Linked DNA regions of Drosophila melanogaster. The protein of the gene in region 2 interacts with the protein of the main gene of each other region in a pairwise test. Each region holds a gene or a part of one and is shown on either strand. Other genes may lie near its edges. The genes, in order: Lim3, Doc3, ATbp and Kap-alpha1.

The links.
Region 1: the proteins of Doc3 (region 2) and Lim3 interact in a two-hybrid assay, tested with the Drosophila melanogaster proteins (one large-scale study listed by BioGRID).
Region 3: the proteins of Doc3 (region 2) and ATbp interact in a two-hybrid assay, tested with the Drosophila melanogaster proteins (one large-scale study listed by BioGRID).
Region 4: the proteins of Doc3 (region 2) and Kap-alpha1 interact in a two-hybrid assay, tested with the Drosophila melanogaster proteins (one large-scale study listed by BioGRID).

What each region holds. Positions count from the first base shown.
Region 1 is NT_033779.5:19,105,427-19,110,428, reverse strand, and holds the start of Lim3 (Lim3), read left to right. Parts: upstream 1-2,001; 5' UTR 2,002-3,042; intron 3,043-4,153; exon of another isoform or gene 4,154-4,263; 5' UTR 4,264-4,357; coding exon 4,358-4,706; intron 4,707-5,002.
Region 2 is NT_037436.4:9,003,325-9,007,791, reverse strand, and holds Doc3 (Dorsocross3), read right to left. Parts: upstream 2,597-4,467; 5' UTR 2,475-2,596; coding exon 2,384-2,474; intron 2,322-2,383; coding exon 2,156-2,321; intron 2,018-2,155; coding exon 1,750-2,017; intron 1,634-1,749; coding exon 1,496-1,633; intron 1,429-1,495; coding exon 817-1,428; 3' UTR 543-816; downstream 1-542.
Region 3 is NC_004354.4:23,104,004-23,108,840, reverse strand, and holds ATbp ((A+T)-stretch binding protein), read right to left. Parts: upstream 2,839-4,837; 5' UTR 2,738-2,838; coding exon 2,558-2,737; intron 2,498-2,557; coding exon 1,511-2,497; 3' UTR 510-1,510; downstream 1-509. UniProt on the Drosophila melanogaster protein: May be a transcription factor for genes having (A+T) stretches in their promoter and/or enhancer regions. Binds to AT rich DNA.
Region 4 is NT_037436.4:19,805,512-19,810,898, forward strand, and holds Kap-alpha1 (karyopherin alpha1), read left to right. Parts: upstream 1-1,720; 5' UTR 1,721-1,808; intron 1,809-2,401; 5' UTR 2,402-2,425; coding exon 2,426-2,626; intron 2,627-2,688; coding exon 2,689-3,173; intron 3,174-3,232; coding exon 3,233-3,496; intron 3,497-3,563; coding exon 3,564-4,063; intron 4,064-4,127; coding exon 4,128-4,309; 3' UTR 4,310-4,887; downstream 4,888-5,387. Other genes in the region: CG34116 (uncharacterized protein), read right to left, coding at 1-492; Ccdc58 (Coiled-coil domain-containing 58), read left to right, coding at 691-726, 795-941, 999-1,121, 1,175-1,279; CG14104 (uncharacterized protein), read right to left, coding at 1,429-1,635; Cyp305a1 (cytochrome P450 305a1), read right to left, coding at 5,041-5,387.

The DNA.
Region 1 (5,002 bases), on a different chromosome or scaffold from region 2:
TGCTGGGCAGGACATCCCTGTTGGAAGAAACACAGAATTTAGAGGCATCGCTCCAAGGATAAAAGTCCAGACACACACCTCTCACGTATGCCGCTCAGATAGTTGATAAGGAACTCGATGGAGGCATGGCCAAATTCACGGAACTCATCAAAGTCCATGATCCTGGTTAATCCAAAAAAAAAGGCGCGATTTACTTTGGGGGGGAATTTGGGTATTTAGCCGCTCCGCTGGTTCCGCACTTGTTCACCGCTGACATTCGAATCTACAAATGAGCTGGCTGCGCTTTAACCAAGTCTCAATGAGCTCCGAATCTCGAGACCCTCCAATAAAAAGTTTGGGGGGGAACTCCAACAACGTTAACAAAAATCCGGCTATGTGTGAAAATGTGCAGTGGCAGCAAGTTTTTTGTCTTTCTGACTGGCCCATTGCCGAGATTTATGTTTATGTAACTACCAAAAGACACAATAGCGAAAACAAGATCGCCGGACAAAAGTTAAAAATGTCGGTGAAGAAAATTTAAACAAACTGCTTGTTAATTGTCTATTAAAATGTGTTATCCAAACACTAGCACTGCTGCTTACTAAATCTCCGCCATCCCCCCCAAAACCCACTGCCGATCCGGTTCCATATCATCACATCATCAGCAATTAACCGTCCCAAGTCGAGCCCATTTGGCAAAATACTTCATGTGTCTAACCATTAACGGCTCCATTAGACAGACGTCTGCGACAAAAGCGTTGGAAAATTTGAAAGTCAAAGTCGATTTGGTAACCGCGGAAGTGAAGCTCCGCCTGGGATGCCATAGATTGGGATCGCGTTGGATTGAGTGCATCGGTTTCATCAGCCATTTCCATTTCCATTTCCATTCACGATCAGTTTCAGTTTCAGGGTCACGCTGCATTTTTATGCTCTTACCCTATATTTTTTTATAATCGGTACTAGTTGGGTTCAAGGGTATGCCGTGTTTTCGTGTTGTTCCGCACGCGTAACGAAAGCCCAATAAGAAAATGCTGAATGTTTAATAAAGGAAATATGTAATATAGTTTATACAGTTTATAGTTTAGCTTCTGTGTAATAGTATCCAATATATATTACAGGCAAGCTGTAAATGATGATGATACAAAAGTCTTAGTATAAGTATGAAGTAATACATTTTACAGCATAAGATGGAATCATGTTTTTTTCTAATATTTATACGTACTTTGTATCTGGCATTTTATGCAGACTTTCTCAGACCGGGCATACTTTTCGAGCGACCCACGCACTCCAGCTGTTCGCGTTCCTTGCTCCGCCGCAGCGCGGAACCCAACCCACAAACGACCTTCCCTGCTAGTGTCCACTTCGGTGGGTGGGCGGAGGTCATCCGTTGGGAGCGGGGGCGTGGGGTTCTCGAGCATGGCGTTGGGGTTCAAAGTGTTTGGCAAAGTATTTGGCGCGCTCTAAGCGGCTCATAAATAAATGCGAAAACAAAATCGTTTTTGCAGACGCAACGCATTTAAGGGGTTTTCGGGACGGGTGGCAAGTATCCACTATAGATATAGGGGTTCCGAAACTACACAGACAGCGAGAATCCTATGCAGATACAGCGAACTCATGGGCAACGGGTGACTCGGGCATGGAGTAGCAACTTCCCCCCTCTCCCATCACCCTGCCAGCTTTGGGTTTTCGAGTGCGCCGGCGCTGGAACGACATCGAACTCTAGGAATAGAAGCGTATGGCCACCCCAGCCCCATTTTAATGGCGACGCTGGGGCGATAAGATAATGGCCACTGCCTGCGCATGCCTGGAAGTTCTTGTTGCTTTTGGACTCTATCGTCGGCCGATTTCCAGCGATTTTCAATATAAAGGGGCGGTGCCTGTTTTCCAGTGGAGACCCCGCATTTTTGGTGACCGCGCGCCGCGTATTGACTTGGACCTTTGAGTTAAGTTTCTCATATTTGTTTCGCCTCAGTCGACGTCGCTGCTGACTTTTAAGTGCTGTTTACTGTTGTTTTGGGGCCAACGAAGGTGTCGCGCTCGACGTTGGTTGGCTTTTTGTTCTACCCACTGTGCTGTTTTCCTTTTTTCATTTTTTTTTTGCCCCTGCACTTTTGCAGCTCAAGCTTCTTGAGGCAGAGGGAAACAAAAAAAAGTTTCCACACCTTCTTTTTTCGACGAGGCTAAAGTTTTTGCGTTTTACAAATATTGTAATGCTCTTGGAATTTGGACTTTTCGGGCAAATGGGCATCGCCAGAGAGCGACACACACATGCGCACGGCCTCCAAAAAGAAGCACAAAAATGTTGTCGCTGCTGGCGTTGTCGCCTCGCCGCCTTGTTGCCATTGTTGTCCTGCCATTCAGGGCTGGCTGTATGCATTTTACCATATCATTTGTGTCACATTAGGATCAATTGGTAAACACACGCCCGCACACCCGCACACACCCACAGATAGTACGTATACGCACGGCGTACCCATGTGGGCGGCCAAAAGGCAAACGGCAAACGGCACACGAATACAAGACGAAAGGCAAAAAACAAAAAAAAAAAAAAAAAAAAACAACAGCGTTAAAAGCTCGCACAGTCGAGAAAAAGCGTGAAAAAGTGCGCAAAGTAAAAAGGAGAGACGACAGTTTGGACGGCCAAGAAAATAAATAAAGATGCAGCGCGGCAAATAGAGGGGATTCCCACCAGCAACAATACCAGCCGCCTGCCAGTGTTGCCGCGTCCAGGGTTGCCGCCGTACCGTTACCGACACCGTTACCGTTTCCAGACCGTTACCTTACCGTTGGGCAAACACCGTTAGCCATGCCGCCGCCATTTTGTCGCACTGGCTTCGCATTTGCCGTCGTCGTTTTCGCTGCCGAATCCGTTACCGTTACCGTTAAAGTTGCCGATGCCGTCGCCAAAATGGCGTTCGCATAAAATCGCGTTCAAGTGCCGCAGAAAATTCAAACGAAATAATACGAAATGTTGAAATAAGAAAATTAAAAACCAGCCAATAATTAACAAAGTTAACAAATACTAGAGTTGAGTGTTAAAGTGACGCAAAAAATTTTAATAGGGTAAATGCAAATCATTTCCACTGGTTTTACGATTCCGTCGCATAACGAAAGGCTCAATAAAAAGGCTAAAATTCTGAGGAACTATTGAAAAGAAAGCCAGCTTGATTAAAAAATGGAATGTTACATTTTAACAGTAGATCCTTAAAACAAAAAAGTCTATTGAGCAAATTGTGTTGAGAAGAGTTACAAAACCAAGATACGTTTAGGATTTTAAAATGTTTAGTATATGAATTTTAATACTAACACGATTGGATTTTGTTTGTTTTAAGATTTAAGGCAATCAAAATAAGATTAATGTGCGATTTCCAACTCCCGATGTTAGCCATTTTAATTTCAATTTAATCTTAGGAGCTTTGCTCCTAAAATTAAATTTCTATAAAATAAATTTCATAGTATTTTGTTTCATTTATATATGATCTTCAATCTTAACTAGTTTCCAAATACTGAAGAACTATTAAATGGAAATTTCCGATTAATTATTCTACGTTTTAATATTTCACAAAAAATAAATTGTTTACCTATTTTGTTTGTTTGAATTTCTATAAAATAAATTATCTTCAATCTTAACTAGTTTTCAAATACTGATAAACTATTAAATGGATATTTGCTATCAAATATTCTACGTTATAATATTTCACAAAAATTTTTTTTAACTATTTTGTTTGATTTGGGAACCATTAGCAGTTCGTTTTTGATAAAAAAACCTTGGACATTGACCGTTTTTTGATAGATAGTATAGTGCACATCCGATTTGTTGTCTTCGCACGAGAATTCTCCTCGTGATAGACGATGAATAGATATGCGCCAAACGGTCTTTTGAATATCTACCGATCAGTTTGGCCCTATCCTCGGCTTACATAAAGTTTACCCGCCTTGCACTTGGTCGAAAGCACCCGAACAATAGATGGTCTAGTGTGCCCCGGTATCGCAAACAAATTCAAATTGTTCAAGTCCCTGGCTACTTCAACTGATAGAGCAGCCGAGCACTGAGCACGAGCCCAACCGAGTGGCAAGACTGGAATCTAGATTCTACCGTAGAAACCGAAACCCAAAGAGACCGCCGCGATAAGGGAAAAACAGTCAACCGGGCCACTGTTGGGCACAAACCAATGCCAGTTATCGAGCAGACAGCGATCCCGCCTAGCGGAGTCTCGTTTAGACGCTAAACGGGAAACGAGTGCGGTAAACTAACACAAAGATTGCTTTTTAAACACCAAACAGGGCTAAAGATACAAACGTGTGCCAATTGGAATAAGCTAACTGAAATATACATATAACTCATACGACGCGTGTTCAAATCGCCGGCCCCTCAGCAATGATGCAAACCCTGAAACCACCGCCACCGCTACATCATCACCACCAGCATCAGCACCAGCTCCAGCATCCGCCTCAGCAGCAGCCACATCCGCATCAGCAGCTGCAACATCCGTTGCAGCAGCAACAGCACCTGTCAGCCATGGATAATCACCAGCAACATCAGCCGCATATCCATCAGCAGCAGCAGCAGCAGCAACAATTGCCACCCACGCCGCAGGCATCTCACCTGGTCGGTGGGCAGCAACAGCAGCAGCAACATCCGCACCACAATCACCTGGCTGTCGACCAGGATGACCCAAATCCCGAACTGGTGCTCGCCTTAATTTCCAGGAACCGGGCGCTCGAGGGTAAGTGGCCAAGTCATGCCATCTTTGATTCAGTCCTGTCCATCTGAAGGCTGCCTAGGAGATTTTCCTGCACAGTGAACAAAAATGTTTGCCAAGAATAGTATATTATTAAAATGTTTGGTTTTCAAACTTAGATTACATTTTTGAATTTTATTTATCAATTTATCAATTTTTGAAATGAAAGAGAGAATAGTCGTATTTACATTAAAAAATATCGTGGTTTCTTAATTTTGCTTTAGTAAATATTGAGAATACAGTTTTCATGTTAAAACCGTATATTTCACTTCTGCTGTAAG
Region 2 (4,467 bases):
GTAGTGGGTCCTGGGGATTGGAGATTGTGGATTGGGTATTTGAATTGGACTGCTCGCCAGGTTTGCCGGTGATCGTGGCGCTCAATCAGCGCATTTAACTTGGCGCCGGCGCCAGCGTTTAAGATGCGGCTCGCTCTGATCTGCTGATAAGCCCATGACCATGTTGTTGCTGCCGATGTTGCTGCTTGCCGGTGGGTTGTTCTGCTCTTAGAAACCTTCTTTCTTTCACAAGAAGTTGGAGCAGGAGAGGGAGGGCGGGTGCGGGGCCTGGAGGAACTGGTTTTTATGCCTCGCATGCGGGAGATATGTATGAAACCGAAACCAAAGGCAAAACCACGCCGAATTATGTATTCGGCGAGGACAGGCAAATGGAAGGCATACAGCATGCACAAATTGCTCGAGGAACAGGATTCGAAGCGCAGTCATGGGAAGTTATTGGGGAATTTATTCAGATCTTCGAGCTGGAAGCTCTTCGCATCTGTCCCATCTAATTGCTTCACATTCCCCGCATTGTTTCATCCCAGAAATAGCTCCATCGAATTCATTGGATACGTACATATGTACGTACAATTTTATTTATGCCGCATTAAAATGCCAAAGACAATAAATCCATTACGAAATCATGTGAACAATTAAAATTGCATAATAAATACGATAAATACTGATGGCAAATACCTGGAAATCCTAATTAACTGCAAAATATCACAATTCAGCTTAGACACTACGCAGACGATGGCAACTAAACGCTAATTAAATGTACAAGGCACCGATTCCAAGCCAAACGGGAGCACATGCACCCGTCTGCACTTGATAGTTTTAAATGGACGAGCTGGTTCCTAATATGTCCGAGATGCTGAAGCTGCTGCGCTTCGGCTTGGCCATCGTCGGATCGCTGGATGACGAAGCAGGGGCAGTAGCAGTGGCTGGCACAGGCGGAGATGGAGGCGGAGGAGCAGCCGGTGCGGTTCCAACCACATCTACAAAGGTGTCGGCATCGGCATCTGCCTCTCGGTCGGCAGCAGATTCGCCGCTCGTCGAGCCCGCCGAGGAGGACGAGACAGAGGAGGCCGGCGATGGCGGTGTGTAAGCCCAACTTGGATAAGCACCACCGATGTGCCTGGCATACTCGATGGCCGGCGGCGGTGGCGCTGGCACATAGAAATTGGCCTCCAGAGCATCCAGCAGATAGTGACGCTGCATAGGAACACTGTGATGACTCTGGTGATGATGGTGCTGGGGAAATTCCTCCACGAGTCGCAACCGTTTGGCTAACGGCGATGTCACCGGGCTTCGATCCACCTGGTTTGCCTCGGGCTGCGTTGGCGGTGGCGAGTCATTGATCTTCCGTTTGCATCTCGACTGACCCGACTCACGGAATCCCTTGGCAAAGGGATTGTTGTCGATCTTCAGCTTGGTTATGCGGTCATTCTGCAAATGCAAACAAGAGGATTAGCTATCACGTGCCATATTTAGACTGCGATATAGCACCACGCACCTGATAAGCTGTTACGGCTATAAACTCCGTCTCCGGAAAGATAAAGGCCTGTTGGGGGGCCCAGGGAATCTGGCCGAGATCAGAGGTTCGTATGACGTGCAGACGCGGCTGATACTTGTGCATGCTGGCCAAGACGATCTGGAGAGACAGAAAAATACACGGTTAGTTTGAGGATATACAAAGATACATATATTTCTACTCAAGAACAAAAGATCAAATTTGTTTATGTAATATTCTTGACAAAGTTTACTTACATGACCATTGTTATCCAGCGTATTATTCGTCAATTTCACTTTGCTGAAGAGCAGAGCCTGGGATTGCCAGTGTTTTCCCGTGGCTGGACTCTCCGGATGCAGATACATGCGCTGCGGGCTCTGGGGCTCGGCTCCTCCGGCCGGCACCCACTGGGATCCAGAGAACTTATAGCGACAATCGCCAATGGGCACCATCTCGAGGAGCACGCAATAGCTGGCCTCCTCCTCCAGTCCACTGAGGGAAACCCGCATCGAAGGGAACATGCGTCTGAAAGGGATGGAGGCGTTGGTTAATGGATGTTAGTGACACGTTTGCGCCGTAAGATTTAAGAGTAAGCAGAAGGCTTATCAATGGGAGATAAGCTGATGGGGGCGAGCAAATAGTTGACTTTAAAATGGTACCAACCTGCCGCACTTGGTGATGATCATCTCGGTGCCGATGCTGTGGAACTGCTGCCAGAGTTCGTTATTCTCCAGCTTGGCCTCCACATCGCCGGGCAAAGTGGGTTGCGGCGGTGGCGGCGGTGGCATAAAGTGTCCGGCAAAGTTGGGTAGCAGGCCGCATAGGGGATCTGTGGTAGACACTTTGGGTTAGCCGACGGCAAATCACAAGCGCAGGGAGTGCTCCACTTACCGGGTAAACGTTGCATAATCTGCTGGCGGTATATCTCCTGGGCGATCTGCTGCTGCAATCGCAGATCGGCGATGTTGGGCAAGGTCAACATATTTGGGGTCTTCGTGGAGCTATGTGCGTAATCTATTATTTTTGTGATACGTTGATATTATTCCGTGGGCAATCGACGTCTGGAACACGAACTGATCGCTTTGCTGTCCAGATTGAGACTGTCTCTCGGAATCTCAGAGCGGGCACTACTTCAGTTCTGCCAGAATCCGGTCGGTTGGGTTCCTCCCGCTCACTTCGCTCTTCACTCTGCCGATCCGATCCGATCCGATCCCTATCCTCAGGTAGTTGCCTAACCTGTTCTCATGCTCAAGTGGCTTGCCACTCACCCGCTCTCTCGCTTCCACTTCCAGTGCGTCAGGCCATGTGTGTATGTTTATCTCTTTGCCATTGGTCGCTTATCAGCGAGCGTTACGCCGTCCCGCTTGCACTCGCTGCGCCAGATGGAACGCCATTTTCGTAACGCCGCGTGGAGCGGTTCTGGTGACCTCCTCTCACGGAACTGGGGGGCACGGCACCCATCTTGCTGCTGATAGCGTTACGTGGAAAGGGAACGGCAATGGGGAATGGGGCTTTTCTTCGTGGAATCGGGGGAGCGCTCTTTGAAGTCGCCTAATCGTTTGTAATATTTATGGAACTGGAAAACGTTTTGGATATGGGCCAACCAATAATGTTCGGCGAGATTACATTGTCCCAGAAATGGGAAGCTGTAATTTCGGAGGCACGAGAAAAACATTAGGCGTATAGAATTAGAGGAGGAATTTCCAAAATACTTTGTAGAAATAAATTTATTCATCGTTCTTTTCAATTTTGTTAATGTTAAAAACAATAAACAGATTGGAAAATCTTCGTTAACTCTCTGTTAACTATCAGTGTTTACAGTCTGAGTTGAATTGCCACAATTCAATAGATAAAAAACAAAAATATTATCAAACAAAGTACTTTTATAACATTGCATTATCATTATAACAAAAATATAAAAAAAAATATACGAGCATTTTGTTTTATGTCGGCATTTTACTATTCATCAATGTGATAATGAAGCCAAATCTAGGCAAATAAAATAAAGGTGTGAAAATCAAGTAATTTATATTTACTCTTTGTTAAAAGTGGTATTTATTAGACAAGAATATTTAAAGAGATACTATACAAAAAGATTTAAAATTTAGGTTAAGAATTTTAGTACTGCACTATTATTATTATTATTATTATTATTTTCCCACAGCTTATCCTTCAAATCGAATGACTTCTAAAGTATCTTCTAGGTTATTTAACATTTTGATCATCGGCATATCATCTTGAGACAGCACTTGAGTGTCAAACCTTTGATAACCAGTTCATAGATCTATCTATTCCACCGTCATGATCGGAACCCATATGTTCGGTTGCATTTAACTTATCTGCAATCTGCCGTGCATCTTGTAGATGCAGCGAAATATCGCCGCTACCGTTGCGAAGGAGAATCTCGAAAGAGATCCGCCCCGTGATAAGTCCGGCTAATCAGACCTTTAAATGGTACTTTGTACTCGATGCTGGGCCACAACAAATTGCGGCAGCCGGGAGCGGCCATCAAATCAAACTGGCGCCAAGACACTGTCGCCTTCGAGCCACTTGAGCATCGTAGTAGGACGGGATGGAAAAGGGATACGTCTAACGGATCAGCCACTTGTTGCCACTTGTCCTGCATTTCGGGTGCCGGTGCCGTTGGCAGGGCGACACTGGCGGCACAAACTCACAGGCGAGTCATAAAAATCATCACACTTTGTCCCCGAGCTGATGCCTCCTCAACGACGGGAACAACCGTGGAACAAAAGCGAGAGCCTCGATGATGCGAGGATGCCAGTTTCAGTTTTATGGCCTGGCTGTGCGACGACCGCCGACTGTTTGTGTGTCTCTCTGCAGTTTCCAAAATTATTGTTATGATTATTGCCTGTTTGTGGGTCTGCTCTACAATTTGTTTGCTATTGTCTGGTCTGCTGGATGTTGGAGACAAAAGCGGGCCGACAAAACCGCAAAAGGACATCGCTTGGGGGTAT
Region 3 (4,837 bases), on a different chromosome or scaffold from region 2:
GTGAGCAAGGTTGTTAACTTTGTGGGCAATGGATAAAATACAAGAAAAACAAGAGAGATACCCGTTGCTCAGCTAGTGTGAATGCGAACACGAAATTTTATCATTTTATTATGATATCGATAGATATTGGGGAATAAAATGAGAAAAAATTTAAGAATTGTTCAAAACTGTTTTTTGGCAAATCGATAGAAATTTACACAACTAATAAAATTATGAAAAAATATCAAACAATTTTTCAAAAATGTGGGCGTAGCAGTTATATACTTTATATGGTCGGATTCCTTTCTGCCTGTTACATACTTTCAACGATAATAAAAAGGCAGTTGTAGCTTCTCGAGCAACTAACAATGGAAAACTTTGGGCTGTAATTAAGAAGTCCTGGACCTAAATATCCCTTAAACAGTGCCAGGACCTGAATCAATCCATGCCAACACGTTGAACAGCTGTTTAAAATTGAATATTTAAGCATTTTTCATGACGTGGCTAATTAAGTTAAGAACTCATAGAACAATGTAATTATTTTTTATTTTCTAATAAGTGCATGATTTAACTTTTCTAAAAAGGTATTTTTGCTCTTTTTAAATCCTAAAATTGGGACTTATTCAAACCTTGATTGGGCAAGTGGTAATATTAAATTTTTCGCAGCTGTATATATGGCCATATATACATAAATATTGTGTATCTAGGTAAATAACTGTTCTAACCTTGTAAACTGTAACTGACACTATTTCAGCAACCACTAGATATGTCCCAGAAATCTCGCTGTCCTCAGAATCCATTTCAACTTAAAGTAAAAGACTTACTCAAAGGAGACTAATCGGTTTTAACACATTGTGAACCAATTTACTCTAAAACAAAACTCACAACGGTCTAGACACCAACATATTTTTTGGTTGGGCTTAATTCCGTCTTCTAAATTTTGGTCTCCTTTACACACATCATTGCATGTACACTTAGAGCGTAAAAGATAACGGGGGTTTTCATACCTCTGCCTAAACATTTACATTACATTTACATGACAACCTAAGCCTACATTAGATATTAGTTTATATTTGTATATTTTTATATACTAAATATGCATACATGTTATATATATTTATATTATATATTTATTTATATACAATATATATTCATTTGTAGAGCATATATATATACACATATGTGATATACATATATATGTCACTTGCCTGCCACAATGTTGACGCAGTGCTAAATTTTAATTTACAGTCGGAATTATCCAGAATTATTTAATTTATAAATATAAATATAAAGTCTATAACTTTATTGAGTCTTAGAAAAGGCAGAGAAATCATGGAAGAGACAAAATGTAGAACTCTTTTGTACACACCTTGCTAATTCAACAGATTTCTGTGGCTCCTAGCACAATGAACATTTTTTGTGGCAAACAAGCGATTTCCTTGAACTTAAGTCAACATTTTCAAACAGGGTTTTTCGAGATGCAATGTGGTTAATTGGGGAATCTTTGAGCTGTCTCTGTTTAATGTATAGCCTAAAAGCGCTGCGGCAATATCTCGCTTTTGATGCCTCTCAGTGCGTGCTTTTTCTTCCGGTGTGTTGATAGGTTGCACGACTGCTTGAAGGAGGCACTGCACAGTTCGCAATTGAACCGCCGCTCCTTGCTGTGAACTACCCGATGTAGCTCCATTCTCGACTTATACTTAAACTTCAAACCACAAGTCTCGTAATCGCAGACGTACCAGCGTTCTCCGTCATCTGAAGAGACAGCACTCCCGGCGCTGGCCGTCGTGCTGTTAGAGTCCTTGGGCAGCTGTTCCTGACTGGCGGCTAGCATAGCGGCGGCCATAGCCGTCGAAGGAACGACAGACATGTTTAGTTGCTGTTGCTGCTGTAGAACATTGGGTGGCGTGGTGCTGACCGTATTGGAGGTGCTGGTACTGGCGCTGACGCTTACAAATCCGGACCCTGGCGGTGGAGGCGGTACAGGTGGTGGAACTAGCTGTGGCAGATGGTAAATGGTCCCCCCAGCTGCTGCAGCAGCCTGCATTTCGGGTGTAAGTGTCAGACTGCTGGGCTCTATTTTAATGTCGATGGCGCTGTTACTTTGGGTAGTTCCTTCGCCTGTGGATACCACAGCTGCGGAGGCTGCAGCGGCAGCTACCGCATTGGCATGGAGTTCAGCCAGCTCCTTGGCAACATCCCGCTGCTGTTGGAGCTGCTGGTGGGTCTGCTGTTGTTGAACCTGGTGTTGCTGGTGCCCTTGCTGCTGAGACTGTTGGTGTTGTTGCTGCTGCGCTTGCTGCTGCTGCGCTTGCTGCTGTTGCACTTGGTGTTGCACCTGCTGTTCGTGCATTTCCACCTCCCGCTGCTCCTCCTCAGAATACTTGGTTGAGCAGGTGTAAAGTGCCAGAGGCACACTGATCGCTGTGGCGCCTTGCTGGGAGCTGCTTCCTGGCGTTGCTGCTGCCGCCGCAGCCTCCACATCCGTTAGGCAGTAGCTGGATGTACGACTGTGTTCCTGTGTAAAGAGACCAAGGGTTATAAACCCTCCGCCAAAAAAAAACCACATAAAGCATACCTTTGCCACCCCGTGCATGAAATTATGCTCATCCTGTATGTGCTTCCAGAACTGATCCTGTGTCTGCAACTCCTCTTGGCACGTGTGACAAACAATCCAGAAGCTATCCCCCGACAAACAGAACTCGCCCAGCTTGGTGTAGATCTTGTTGTTCTTGCTGAGGATGCGCGGAAAACCCATGGCGTTGTTTTGTTTGACTAGGTCCGGTCCTTGTGCTGTTGTTTGTTTATGTTTATTTTTTTTTTGTTTTTGTTTAGCTATCGGCCGAATGGGCACTGTCGATAGTATCGATTAATCATCGGCCTTATTTAGTGTCGAACTTGAACGCAGCTATCGCATTGATGGTAAAGAACTACATATCAGTGGTCCATAAAAAAAACTTTAATTAGGAATTATATTTACAAACGATAAAACGCATGTGAAGCTTTGGGAAAAAATCTTAAAAAACATTGGTTTCCTCAACAGGACACTCAAAAAAAGCGTTAGACATTGGAAGAACCAAAATACTTTTATAGCATTTTAAATATCTTCTATCGATATATCGATAAGGTAAAAACTTCTAAATAAAAGTCCAGAATCGCGAATTTTCTATCGATATTAAATAACTGTTGTATGGAATCTTTAAGCCTTTTACAATTTTAAAAATGTTGTGAAGTACCAAAAATGATTTTCATGCCCTCGTATGGTGGAGGCGTATATTAAATTCCTTGAAAAGTATTTAACAGGTAAAAGGAAGCGTTACCGACCCTTTAATGTATATACATATATTCTTGATCAGGAAAACTAGTAGAGTCGAACTGGACTTGTCCGTATCAATGTTTTGCTGTTTGAATAGCTCCATCTTTCTCGCATTTTCATTATCAGAATGAAGAGTTCTCCCTTACTCCTGAAAGGGTCAGTCGGTTATTTAGTTAGAACACAAGCATTATGTTAATAATTTTTTAAATAACGTACTACATAGTGTGTCCTGATTATTGTTAAGCATTGATTTAATGTGCTTTGATTACGAACTAATCGATGTTTTTTAATTTTCCGTTATGTGTATAAATGAATTTATGTATGAATATATAACAATACCGAAATATATTTGAATACAATCTTTTTTTTGGAAAAATCAATTATTATTCAATAATATTGAAGTCACTAGGAATCGTTCATTTCCTTCTGAAATTACCTTAATGCGTAGCTTAAAAGATAATATTATGGATTTTGTTATACAAATGTACAGTGGAGAAAATACAATCCAAAAGCAAAAGTATTGAGTACTTGTTATTGAAAAAATGTAAGTAACGCAAGACAGACACTTTTAAAATGATACCCTACCCGAAAACACATATGTATATTCATATGTGGCTATGTAAAATGTGAAATATATGTATATATGTATGTGTATTTACATAACTACATACTTAGGTATGTGCGATATATTTTCACATTTTGTTTTGTCTTTGCATTTCCCTACGTACAGACCGATAGACTGGCATGGATAGATCGACTCGGCTATTGATCCTGATCAAGAATATATATATATTATATGGTCGAAAACGCTTCCTTCCGCCGGTTCATACTTCTCAACGAATCTAGTATACCCTTTTACTCTGCGAGTAACGGGTAATATATGCCCCCAAACCTCACCTCCCTGAAACACCAATCTTTCTAAAATCGACACAACACACAATAAGTTCAACAAAAACAACACGACCCCAAAATTGATAAGGAAAATATTAAATAATAAGCAAACTAACGATCTTTCCTAGACCTACATTTACACAGATGGATCTCAAACAAACAAAATTACCAGCTTCGCTATTAACTACGAAATTTAACTTATCAAACGGCACATCATACTAGCCATTATTGAGGCCCTAAGAACTCATAAAAATAAAAGAGCAAAATTCTGCATTATTAAGAACACCAGGAAATGAACTCGCTGACAGCCAAGCAAGAACCGCAACAAGCCATCCACTTACAACTATTGAAAACTTTAACACACAGGACATACTTAAATATATAAATAAATGTATATAACCAACATCTCGAGGACATCAAATTGGCATCAAACATCAAGCCAAAATCATCTTAACAGCTACCATTCTTTTGCTTGGACTAGAAAAAGCATACGAAATTAGAGAAATACCTATACAAAATTAGTTAATTAAATATAAGAGGCGGTGCCACGGCCACAATTTTTGGTATCATAAAAGATAATGGCAAAAAAATTTAAATATCTTTATCCGTTCTAGAGTTACAAACTACAACAAATATAAGGGGCGGTTTCAG
Region 4 (5,387 bases), about 11 Mb from region 2:
GGACTCCTCGACCCCACTTGCGTCGAGTGGTAGCGCGATCTCGGGAATGTCCGGAATACGGGCTGAAGCTGCAGTGGAATCTCCGCCGCTGACCGCTTCCCCCACAAAGGCGGCAACATCGGCAGGAGAGGGTTTTGTTTCCAACTCATCCGACATGGATTGTTGGTCATCATGTTCCTCATGATGCTCCTGGTCCGTCTCCTCCTTTCTGTCGTTGGATTCGCCCTTGGAATTGTAGCAGCAGAATGCCTGTTTCTTGAGATACTGCAGGTGACACCGGTGACGCCTCAGGTTCGTTGTGGATTTGTGGGTGAAGGACATAATGCTCCTGCAGCCGATGCAGAACAGTACGTGCTCCAGAAAGCTACCATCGTCCTTCTTGATCTTGCGATACACCCGCCACACAGTGCTCCGTGTGCTTTTGTCATTAACAGCCAATTGGTAGACGCCGGTTTCAATTTTCTCGTGAATATCATCGAATTTTAGCGGCATCTTGAATTATTTTGCTATTTTGTTTTGTTTTGTTCAACTAGTCTTTATCATCCACATCGATTGTCCATAATCGTGCTAATCGATTGCACCGCCCAGGTGGCAACCCCGATTAGAGGCACATTGCGCCGGCAATTTTACATATATCATTTTGTTTTTATTATTTTTTAAAGTGTTTTCTTGTTTTCCTACCTGGTTTAAATGGCGGCATTGTGCTTAGACTTTCTCGGCTTCCAGGTGGGGGTTGGAATATTGTTGTTTGGGTTAGTAGCCGGCATACTAAATGGCTTTAAGTTTCCAAACAGGAGGCACTGAAGAAGATGCGAGATGTGGACGACAAGATTATATATGCACTAAATGCCCTGCCAACGGAGTCGTTTAAGGGTCAAGTGAACAGTGAAAGCACCTGTCGCGATCTGTACGCGAAGCTCCAGGAGTCACACTTGGCCAGGGTAAATCCTGATTAAGTACAACACACGGGGATCTTGACAGATAGCTTCTCCTTGCAGCAAGAAAGCATACGCAGTTGCATAACAATTTCGGCTAGTAATCTGAAGAAGCTAAGGGAAAAGCGGGAGACCCAGCCGGATGATGTGGATACGGATAACCAGTTTAGGGCGGAGCAGCGCAAGGTAACCGAAATACCTAAGTCTTACTCTTAACTGATGCCTATGATCCTTTCCAGCTGCGGGTTCTCCAGGCCGAGCTCAATGTCGAGGACATCATTAAAGATCGTTCCTACAAGACCTTCAATGAACGATGCCGGTCCTATTTTCATGCTGGCCAATAGGTGGAACAAATGCAATGACTAGTTTTAGGTGGATTTATTAGCAGAAGTCTCATGGAACTGCCAAGCCAGAAGGCATTTACATGCACTCCGTTGTATTACAAGTTGTTTACAACAAGTACATAAATATAACAGTCTAAAAAGCACAAACTTTATTCGTCGCGGGGCAGGTTGTATGTAGCGTAAACCGATCCGACGGGTACGCATTTTAGGTTGGCCAAGGCTTCCAGGACGCGCTGGGTGGCATCCTTTAGGTCGTTGTACTCGTGCAGCAGTTCAATGATCTTCTTTTTCTGACCCTCTGACGTTTCATTTGTCTTATTGGCCGTTTTGCGCGACTTTTTCTTATTTTCTTTCATGTTTAAATTAAATGCAATTGGATTGGAATTACTGCTATCGGTTGATATCGCTATCGATAGCGCGTCAGCTGTGTGCATTGCATTTTGACAGTCCGGCATCCCCGTTCCTCACAACGTGTAAAATCTCCCGTCCCCTTGCATGATTAAGACGAGAAAAGGATTCTCCGGAACAGGTAAATTGTGTTCTAATTACGTATCTGAAGGCGCCTCTTCTAACCAGGAGTTGTGGTGGCTCAAAGAAGGGCGTAACCGGAGACCAGCGAATGGCTCATGCTGGCTGACCTAAGCCCGCACCTATACGCACAAACGCAAAGCAGCCGTGTGTGCACATATGTACATACACGTACAATGAAATGTGAAAGTGTTGTGATTGTGCATTTTGCCAGGAAAACTGAATAGTTCATTAAATGTGAACCTATTATATGTAAATTATTCGCCTGACAACGTAATCTTTATGTTTCCGGAAATGTAAAATTAGCCTAGAGCAGGCGCTAAGCGAATGTTCAGTGGTTACAGGGCGTAATAATCCTGGTGGGAGTGGATGAGAACATTGGGGAACACCTAGTGATGATTATAAACGTTCAATTCAACTAGTTCGCATTCCACGACGACCTCTACCTATATTTTCTAGATTATTTGCACTTTCGTTTAGCATTTGATCACAGTAGCGGCGAAAATCAAGTCGCACTCACTTTTTATCTGAAACCTGTCTTTACGACTTAAATTATTCTGTTCTCAAAGAAATATTTTTTTTAACTATTTCAAGCTTTTGAATTGCCAAGACGACGAAATGTCTGCCAGCCACAAACAGCGTTATAAAAATGCCGCCTTGGACTCCACAGAGATGCGTCGTCGTCGCGAGGAGGTGGGCATCCAGTTGCGAAAAAACAAACGCGAACAGCAGCTCTTTAAGCGACGCAATGTGGTTCTTGAGCCGGCTACATCCTCAACATCAGCCGGAGTGGAGAGCAACACCGATAACGAACAGCAGGTATATTTTGATCAAGTTTGGCCTGATAGCATAGTCTTAACTATCTCTCCATTCCAATGCAGGCTGCCGACATGCACATGGCTGACAGCAGCACTGGCGGTCAAAACGAGGAAGCTGCTGGAAGCGGGGCACAGCCATCCGTAATCAACGAGGAAATGATTCAAATGCTCTTCAGTGGACGTGAAAACGAACAGCTTGAGGCGACTCAAAAGTTCCGCAAACTGCTGTCCCGCGATCCCAATCCTCCCATTGAGGAAGTCATCCAGAAGGGGATAGTGCCACAGTTTGTCACCTTTTTGCGAAATAGCGCAAATGCCACGCTGCAGTTCGAGGCCGCCTGGACGCTAACGAACATCGCATCGGGCACCTCGCAACAGACCAAGGTGGTTATCGAGGCCGGGGCAGTGCCTATCTTCATTGATTTGCTCTCCAGTCCCCATGATGATGTTCAGGAACAGGCCGTGTGGGCCCTAGGCAACATAGCCGGTGACTCACCCATGTGTCGAGACCATTTGCTCGGCTCCGGCATTCTAGAGCCTCTCCTGCAGTAAGTTATAAATAATTATATTGATAAGATTGCGCCAAAGTAGGTGTGACTTCTTGCAGTGTATTGAGCAACTCGGATCGCATTACCATGATACGGAATGCGGTGTGGACACTTTCAAACTTGTGCCGCGGCAAAAGCCCTCCCGCAGACTTTGCCAAAATTAGCCATGGTCTACCAATACTGGCACGGTTGCTGAAGTACACTGATGCGGATGTACTAAGCGATACTTGCTGGGCCATAGGCTACCTGTCAGATGGTCCCAATGATAAAATCCAGGCTGTAATTGATGCGGGTGTTTGCCGTCGCCTGGTTGAGCTGCTATTGTAAGTAGTCCTGCTGCGCCATTACAAATTAAAATTACACTTATGATTTGTTGACCTATCCTGGCAGACATCCTCAGCAGAACGTGAGCACAGCTGCTCTGAGGGCCGTGGGCAATATTGTGACAGGCGACGATCAGCAGACCCAGGTGATATTGGGGTACAACGCTTTGACCTGCATTAGCCACCTGCTGCATTCGACGGCGGAAACAATCAAGAAGGAGTCGTGCTGGACAATCTCAAATATTGCAGCCGGCAATCGTGAGCAGATCCAGGCCTTAATCAATGCCAACATATTCCCGCAGCTGATGGTTATCATGCAGACGGCCGAATTTAAGACTCGCAAGGAGGCCGCATGGGCCATTACCAACGCAACCAGCAGCGGTACGCACGAACAGATCCACTACCTGGTGCAGGTTGGCTGTGTGCCGCCCATGTGCGATTTTCTCACCGTCGTCGACTCGGACATCGTCCAAGTGGCGCTAAATGCACTTGAAAACATTTTGAAGGCAGGTGAAAAGTTCCAGACGCGACCAAATCCCTATGCTATTACCATCGAGGAATGCGGAGGTAACGCTATTTATTTTTACTTTCAAATTTCCATTTAAATATCGATTCTGTTAATATTATATAGGTTTGGACAAAATAGAGTATCTGCAGGCGCATGAAAACCGCGACATCTACCACAAATCATTTTACATTATCGAACAGTACTTCGGCAACGAAGAGGAGGATAGCCGGGTGGCTCCCGTGGCAGGCACGCAACAGTTTGAGTTCGATCCGGACAACATGCCCAGCACCGGATTTAACTTTTAGCACCCTACCGCGCAGGACATCGTTTAACTATTCAAATACGAATCCCTCAAGTCCTAAACACACAGAAGCATATGCAACAGGAAGCGAAGCCTTGCCGCCGGGATTTAAATGAAGGCGGCCAGAGCACGGACATGAAAAATAGACCGCATGAGAAGGCGTCTGCCTTGCCCAAGTGCAGTCACTACTAGCATTTAAGGAAAGATGGTCGTTCGGTCGGCTCGTTTCTTTGTTACAATCACTCACCTGCTTATTGTATCAGCGTTTAGTTCTATAATTTTCGAAGTGGTCCAGGACCAGGCATGACGAGATTGCTTTCATTTAGTTCGATTGTACTAATTTAATATGTTATACAGAACCCATTGTATATGTTTTTGCTTTCCTCAAATTGAGTCTGTAAATATTTTCCATTTTATATATATATTTTCCAGCCCAAGTACGATGAGATCCTCACATGGTGTTGTTATACATTCTGATTCATTTGATCATTTTGTTATGCGAATCGCCGAATGTAAATTTGTTTAAATTATAAAGCATTGTAATTTAATTTAGAGGACATCAATAAACAACATCTAGACCACAGCTATGCAGATTGGCATAAGTTTTTATTGAATCTTTAAGCTTATAATATCCTCATGTGTAAATAATTTTCGGAATCCTTGGAAATATCCTAGTGGATTCAGCACCATATCTCTTGACCTATAATACCGACACCATCGACTCCAGTCACGAACTTAGGTGCGCTTGACGAACTGCACCTTGTATGGTTTTGGAGTAAGCGTAATCCCAGGCAGAAGCACCATTGATGGAGACTCTCCCGCCGGCAGGACAACGCTAAAATGCTGCACGATCCGCACTAGAAACGAGAAGATGCAGGCACGGGCGAGGGCATCGCCCAGACAACGGCGTCTGCCCATGCCGAAGGGCATGAAGTACTCGTCCTTGAAGCACTTGCCAGCCGAATCGATGAACCTCTCTGGGCGGAACTCCAGCGGATCCTTCCAGTGCTCCTTATCGAGATGCACTGAACGTAGGCTAATCAGAATTGTGGCATTTTTCGGAATGTCGTAGCCACCCAGCT